2 linked regions of the Canis lupus familiaris genome follow. The protein of the gene in region 2 interacts with the protein of the main gene of each other region in a pairwise test. Links are inferred from orthologs where the notes say so. Each region holds a gene or a part of one and is shown on either strand. Other genes may lie near its edges.

The links. The genes of interacting proteins can lie anywhere in the genome.
Region 1: the proteins of GRB2 (region 2) and SOS2 interact in binary tests that used the Homo sapiens proteins (3 or more experiments, as listed by UniProt). The link is inferred for Canis lupus familiaris from reciprocal best matches to the Homo sapiens genes GRB2 and SOS2.

What each region holds. Positions count from the first base shown.
Region 1 is NC_049229.1:26,892,510-26,896,159, reverse strand, and holds part of SOS2 (son of sevenless homolog 2), read left to right. Parts: intron 1-1,225; coding exon 1,226-1,353; intron 1,354-1,819; coding exon 1,820-2,475; intron 2,476-2,867; coding exon 2,868-2,949; intron 2,950-3,650.
Region 2 is NC_049230.1:5,987,077-5,991,430, forward strand, and holds the start of GRB2 (growth factor receptor-bound protein 2), read left to right. Parts: upstream 1-1,513; 5' UTR 1,514-1,665; intron 1,666-4,354. UniProt on the Homo sapiens protein: Non-enzymatic adapter protein that plays a pivotal role in precisely regulated signaling cascades from cell surface receptors to cellular responses, including signaling transduction and gene expression.

The DNA.
Region 1 (3,650 bases), on a different chromosome or scaffold from region 2:
CTCGGTGGCTCAGTAGTTTAGCGCTTGCCTTCTGCCCAGGGCATAATCCTGGAGTCCTGGGATCGAGTCCCGCCTGCATCAGGCTTCCTGCATGGAGTCTGCTTCTCCCTATGCATATGTCTCTGCCTCTCTCTCTCTCTCTCTCTCTCTCCCCTCCTCCTCCCCTCCCCCCGTCTCTCATGAATAAATAAAATCTTTTATAAAAAAAAGGTAATGGAGCTAGAACTCAAACAGTATTTATTCAATTACTTGCTGAGGAAAGGGAATCATTGCTGAATGGTTTTCAGACTGTTCTTGGAATATAAGAAAATTTTATCACAAAATTTCTAGTAAGGTAGTTTAAAATCATGAAATTTAAGTTTTTAACAATTTTCAGAAGGTAAAAAATTTTCAGAAATAAGTGGTTGTAGGTTTTCCATATTCTTGCATGAATGTATTTATATTGTATCTATGTAATCTGTATGTAATATCTCTGTGATGCTCCACTGTTAACTTCTAACAAATTGAAACATTGGAGCATCATCCAATCTAAATTACTTATTATAAGGTAAATTTTCTTTCACGTTGAGAGTAAGATACAAGAGAAACCTTTGGATAAATCCAGTAAAACCAGAGTTGTTAGAATTAATAATGTAATTTATAAGCCTTATTTCTAAGAGCTGATGAGAGAACATTAACTTTCATGGTTTCTTGTTATTTACTACAATGGTTGAATTTTATGTTGTAAAAAATATCAGCTGAATTTCACAGATGCTATTTGCAGAAAAGTTTATAATGGATTGGGTGCTAAAGTTAGCATACTTGGTTATATTGTATAACAGATATGGAGGCTTTTAGGCATTTCTGAAACTTAAGAACTTAATCATTAGAGAATATGAAATAATTTCTGTGTTTATCTTATAGTTACTAACAAAAGCAACTTGTAAGCTTCATGTTTTGCTATTTTAAACTATTTCTATATATCTGGAAAATGTCCAAATGGTTTTCACAGTTGCTTTTTTTCTTTATTATTCTGGCAGTAGTGATCTATATTTGTATTATATTTACGTATGTAGAAAGAGAGTTGGTTTTGAAAGATCAGATATACATAATTAAATAAAATTATTGCTGGTTTTATTAAGTATATTTAAATTTTGAGTTTATAATAGTTGTTGCTGTTTCCTCTAACTACAAAAAAGGAAAAGAATTGAACAATACAGGTTTAATTTTTGTTTGTTTTTCTTAGCAATTGAAAGCATGTAGTGAAGAGCAGGAAGACAGAGAATGTTTGAACCAAGCTATTACAGCTCTTATGAATCTCCAGGGTAGCATGGACCGAATTTATAAGCAGTATTCACCTAGACGCCGACCTGGGTAATTCCAAACTGTTGAAAATATGAATGTTTCTGCATACTTCATTTATTATTGTAGTTATACTTGCATTCTTCAGAGTTATACTTTTGTTTTACATTTTTCTTTTGGTCTCTTAGTTGCAGAAAATTGGCACTGTCTTATTGTTAAGATATATTTAATAAAATTTTAAAAGATATAACTAATAGTTTTGTACATGTTATATAAGAAATTTAGGATTCTTTGTAATTTTAGTTAGTATGGCATTTGGAATGAAATGCAGAGTTTCTCTAGTACTTCTCTTTCACAATAATGAAATTGACACATGTATCAGTTGTGGCAAAGTTAGTAGAAGATAGTAAATGCTATGTGCAAAATCTAGTGTTTGGTTATTTAATATTTTCTCACTTGATTTGAGGTGGTTTACACTTAAAGAAATTTGGGTTGCTCAGTCATTGAAAAAGCTAAATTTATCTTTTTTTTTTTTTAGGGATCCTGTTTGCCCTTTTTATAATCGTCAATTAAGAAGCAAGCATCTAGCTATTAAAAAAATGAATGAAATTCAGAAAAACATAGATGGGTGGGAAGGCAAAGATATTGGACAGTGTTGTAATGAATTCATTATGGAAGGTCCATTGACACGAATTGGTGCTAAACATGAACGACATATTTTTCTCTTTGATGGCTTAATGATTAGCTGTAAGCCCAATCATAGCCAGTCACGCCTTCCAGGTTACAGTAATGCAGAATACAGATTAAAAGAAAAATTTATCATGAGGAAGACACAGATATGTGATAAAGAAGATACTTGTGAGTGCAAACACGCTTTTGAGTTGATATCCAAAGATGAAAACAGCATAATATTTGCTGCTAAATCGGCTGAAGAGAAAAATAATTGGATGGCCGCACTTATTTCTCTTCACTATCGTAGTACACTAGATCGAATGCTAGATTCAGTGTTATTGAAAGAAGAAAATGAGCAACCATTGAGATTACCAAGTCCTGAAGTATATCGTTTTGTGGTAAAAGACTCTGAGGAAAACATTGTTTTTGAAGACAACTTGCAAAGTAGAAGTGGAATTCCCATTATTAAAGGAGGAACTGTGGTGAAATTAATTGAAAGATTAACATATCATATGTATGCAGGTATGTGAAACTCATTCCAAGTGCTTACTTACCTAGGGCTGAGAATCTAAAAACCTTCTCAGGGTTATTCAAAAATGCTTGAGGCACAGAAAAAATGGATTGCCTCTGAAATACAAAAAGAATTCTGTAGAATCAAAAGGAATAAATAAGTAATTAAATGTCACTATAATATTGTTGACTTCATTAATTAGTAAATATTCATTAAAAATTGTATGAATCTTGAATCAGAAAACAATCCGCTTTAATCAAGTAATACAATGATTGACGGGAACGCTCTGGTGGGAGGAACCAGAATAAAGAGAAAAAGGAAGGAAGGCCTCCAAAATATGCTACTTTGAATTAAAGAAACTGAATAAATTGAACATACAACTTGTTTTATACTCTCTTTTCAGATCCCAATTTTGTTCGTACTTTTCTTACTACATACCGTTCATTTTGTAAACCACAGGAATTGCTAAGCTTACTGATTGAACGGTAAGAAAAATATTTACTTTACTTACATTAACGTTTCATAAAAAGTTAACTATTTTGTTCCTTGCAAAGTGGTGGGTACTAGTATGTACTCAACTAGTTTTTGAACATAATTTACTTGGCATTAAATTAATAGTATTACTGTTCTCTTCAATAAAACTATTTCCTTAAAAGAGACTTTTTTACTTGTCACTTTTAAACAGACTTTTTATTAAGGAAACTTTCAAAACATAGAAGAGTATAGTAAACCATCATCCAACTTCAGTAATTATCAATCCATGTTTCAGCTGTTTCCCCACTGTCTTCAACACCCTAACCCTGGGACTATTTTGAAGTAAATCCTAGACAACATATTTCATCTGTAAATATTTTCATTTGTATTTCCAAAAGATAAGTATTCTTATTAAAAACACAATCACAATCTCATTATTATACCTAAAAAAATTAACAGTTCCTTTTATTATGATTAGTTTTTAAAAATTAAGTTTTGAATTTTTCTTTTTTAGATAGCATCTGGGCTCCAAAGTAATTTTTGGTTCACATTTAAAAACTTAATACCAGAATTTTATCTTGACCTGTATCATTATGTTGTATTATGAATTAAAGTTCACCAGACTGAATTACTGTAATGTGCTATGAAGATCTACTTAGTTGTATTTCCATGTCCAAAATAAGGGAAGCATACTTCTTAGACTTATATTTTA
Region 2 (4,354 bases):
GAAAGCAGAGGTTTGGTGGGTTCGTCTATAACCTTGCATAGTGCCTCGCATGCAGTTGATGCTCAATAAATGCTTGGTGAAAGAACAACTCATTTTCCTAATTTCAATGGCTTATTTTCTCTATAGAATCAGATGTTCGGTTATTCTCATCTCAGCACTATTTTGTTGGCTTCCAGGGAGCACACTACCATTAGATACGTTCTGTTCTCTTTAATTGGAAAGAGCTTTTGGAACTGAAAAATAGGAGTTACTTCTTCAAGCCTCATCTGCTGCTCCCCCGTTCTCACCCGCCTCACACAGGAATCGAACAACTTAGCATCGCACAGAACACGACTCTCTCTCACGCCTCCGTTCCTTTGTACAGGCATGCGGTTCCCTTCGCCCGAAGCGCCTTTCCCCGACAGCTCCGTCTAGTGAACTCCTACTCGTCCTCCAAGACTCAGCTCAGACATCATCATCACCTTCTCTGGGAGGCTATTCTGAGATGGGCAGAGTAGCAGTTCTCCCTCCCATCTTTTTAGCTTCCTCAGCATTCTCCCAAATAATTCTAACATTGCATATGGCATTTTTTTGTTTTCTTCCGCTCCTCTAATTTTTTAAAAGATTTTACTTATTCAAGATTTTATTTATTCAATTCATTTTTAAGATTTTATTTATTCAAGATTTGATTTATTCAATTCATTTTTTAAGATTTTATTTATTCATTTATTCATTTATTATTCATAAGATTTCATTTATTCATTATTATTCACACACAGAGGCAGAAACATAGGCAGAGAGAGAAGCAGGCTCCATGCAGGGAGCCCAATGTGGGATTCGGTTCAGGGACTCAAGGATGACGACCTGAGCCAAAGAAAGATGCTCAACCGCTGAGCCAGCCAAGCCTCCCTCTCCGGCTCCTGTAGACCGCGATTTCCTCGATTTCCTCGAGGGCCGAGATACCTGTTCATCATTGTACCTCTTTACCCAACACCTGTATACCTATACCTATGCCTAGGATTAGCACACATCAGGCACTTGATTAGACCCATGAGCGAAGAATATGTTCATTCGTCTAACAGTGCGGTTTGGACCGAATTCTCAAGCATTTCAAAAGCTGGTCCTCTATTTGGAGCGCTTCAGGATAGAGGGAGATTCCGACATCCCCCGGCAAAATCCTCGGTTTGATGGCAGGAAAAGGGAAGTGATTAGGCTGTGATGAAGAGTTGCTCCTTCAGGGCTCAGCTGTCATCTACCCTCCTTGGCACAGAGAGGGTTACAGCGACCCAGAGGCGGGGCCACGTGGGTGCCACCTGCTCCGGGGCGGTCTGGCGCAGGCGCCCTGGCGTCTAGACGGCGGCTACCTGCGGGGCCCCGGCCGAGGAGGAGCGCGTGCGCTCTGGGCCTTTTCCGCCGGGGGAAGTCTCGCGGGGGCGGGGCGAGGCGGGACGGGGCGGGGCCGCGCGGGGAAGTTCTCGCGGGACCCCGACGAGGAGCGGAAGCCAGGCGGCTGTGTTGCTGCTGCTAGCGAGCGAGCGGGCGGCGGCGGCGGCGGCTGCGACGAAGACTGAAGCGGCGACGGCGGCGGGAGCAGGCGCTGCCCTCGGGGAGCAGCAGCGCGGTCCGCGGCCGCTCGCACCGCTGCAGACGGGTCGGCCGGGCGCGGAGCGGAGCTGCTGCGCCACGGTGAGTACGGGCGGCGGCGGCGGCGGCGGCGGCGGCGGCGCTGCTGCTGCTCCGGTGCTGCTGCTCCCCTGCTCGGCAGCGGGAGGTGGCCCGCGAGGACCGGGCCCGGTCTACCGAGGGCTGCCAGGGTTGGGGATCAGGGTCGGGGCGACGAGGCCTGGCGCGGAGAACGGAGTCCCCCGGGCTCCGTATTTCCCTTTTTGGGGCGCTTCCTTCCTGGGGACCGTCCTTCCCTTAGCTTAGCTCGGGGCAGGAGGCCGGGTGCGCCTCTTTAAGTTTCACGCTTTCTCGGGGGACGGCTTGCGCAGAGGGGCCCGGGAGAACCCCGGGAGCCCTGGGTACTCATTCTGTGAGTCAGTCTGACTCGGCCCGGCCCGGGAGGCGGGGGATTCGCCGCGGCTGCAAGTGTGGTGATTGATGCTCTTGCGACCTGCACGGCCACCACGTCACCATCTCCCGGTGTCTTTGGGCCAGAATTTGGGGAGGGAGCCCACCGACCCTATGAATACCGTGATTTAGAACTTTTGCTGCCGGAGCCAGCTGAGATGTCTAGTTTTTTTGTTTTTGTTTTTTTGAAACTACACTGAAAAATACTTGTAAAGAACAATAAGCAGCAGTTGGTTGGAAATGCTCCGAGGAAAGGTTTCTGTGCAAGAGGATAAGGAAGGCACTGGTATTTTTCATTTGCATCGCTCTCCATATACGCCCCGTGAGTTAACAGCTCGTTTAGGGAGTTCTTCCAAAAGGTACGATTTGCAGAGGAGCCGAAGTGCACTCGACCTGTGTCTTTTGGTACTGTTGACTCAGAAAAGAGCCCAAAAGACACATGAAAGAAGATAGCATATCTCTTTGGCTTTCCTGTCTCTCTCTCTCACTTTATACTTCTCCAGTAGTTGCCTTCCCTTTCTACCTACTTGTCTCCATTTTCACTGGGGACACTAAGTGTTTGCTTGTGTAATGCAAGTCATTTGCTCATCCCTCCCCCCCTTCTTCTAATCTACTTCCCCTTCCTCCTTTTTGTCCCCTCTTTGGCATAATTTTTCAAGGTTTCTGCCCTTTGGTGCAGTTTGTCTTCTCCCTCATTTAAAGATTCCGTTTTCTCTCCGGGGAAGATACCCTTTTTCCTGCTTTATCCTTCACTTTGAAGCGTCCACTGTGTTCCTTCAGTCAGCCAGAAGAGTTGCCAGAGAGCCTTGGGAGACTTTAAGTTCTCCCCCTGGGAACTGGGAGGCTCAAAGGATTGAATTCATCCGTAAGTAATCAATACTGCCACTAGGTCACAAGTGTAGCTTGCTTGTGTTATTTGTGTTTTAGTTGTTCTCTTCATTTTAACATTGTGCTTTTGTGCCTGCTTACACTTTTCTTCCTATGTCTCTTTTATACTAGTAAGGAAGATTGGGTCAATTTGGGGTTTGTAGGACTTCTTTTTCGGCTTTTAGTGGGAGTGGTGTGTGTTAGAAAATGAAAACCAACCTTAGACCTATGTTACAGTAGAATTAAGATAACATTAAATATTTAAGGGAATAGAATTTCTTTAGATCACTGATGAATTAAAACTTGCCCATTGGGCAGCCCCGGTGGCGCAGCGGTTTAGCGCTGCCTGCAGCCCAGGGCGTGATCCTGGTAGACCTGGGATCGAGTTCCACATCGGGCTCCCTGCATGGAGCCTGCTTCTCCTCTGCCTGTGTCTCTGCCTCTCTCTCTCTCTCTCTCTCGCTCTGTGTCTCTCATGAATAAATAAAATAAAATATTTAAAAAAAAAAACAACTTGCCCATTGTGGCAATTGGATTCTTTACCAGGGTTCTTCTAATGGGGCATCGTTGTTACTGTTCTTGGGGTTTTTTCGATATAAATAACTGTTTCATTACTCCTTCCTTTGTCCAAAATTTTCTGAATTCCCAAAATAAAAACCGAAGTTAATTCTTGTAATTGGCTTTCTTTGATACTAAAAGCAAGCATTTAAGTGCTTGAGGCAGTTTACTCCCTTAGCAAGTGTATTCAGATTTGAGGGATTGCTGGGTTTTAAATACTACTAGTTGATGGTACTTAGCAGTTTTTTTGAGAAATTGCTGTTATGTTGCCTGTTGTGCAGCAGCAGTTCTGATTGTTGCCTAGAACAAAATAATAATAGATTTTGGAGAAATTAATACAGAATAGAGATGTACCATGCTCTCCTGAGAGAAATTAATAGTTCCTTGCTTAGTTCAAAAGACTTTCCTAGCACTACTGAAAGGCTATTGAGAGCCCTTGGTTTTATTTGTTAAAGTTGGCTTTTTCCTAGTTGAGCCAAGTGAATGTGCATTACTTTTATTTTATGCAAAGACATTGTAGTGCATTATCTGGAATGCAAAGTTTGAAATCTGGTTAAGGCATTCTACTAGTACAGCAGTGATTCTTAAAATTTAGCATGCTTAAGAATTACCTGTGAATCTGGGATGCCTGGGTGGCTCAGGAGGTTGAGCATCTGCCTTTGGCTCAGGGCGTGATCCCGGGGTTCTGGGATCGAGTCCCACATCAGGCTCCCTGCTACGAGCCTGCTTCTCTCTCTGCCTGTGTCTCTGCCTCTTTCTCTCTCATGAATAAATAAATAAAATCTTAAAAAAAAAAAAAAAAGAATTACCTGTGAATCTTATTTTAAATTAGGCTCTGGGGCTAAGGCCACTACATTGCAAAACTCCAGAAGGCATC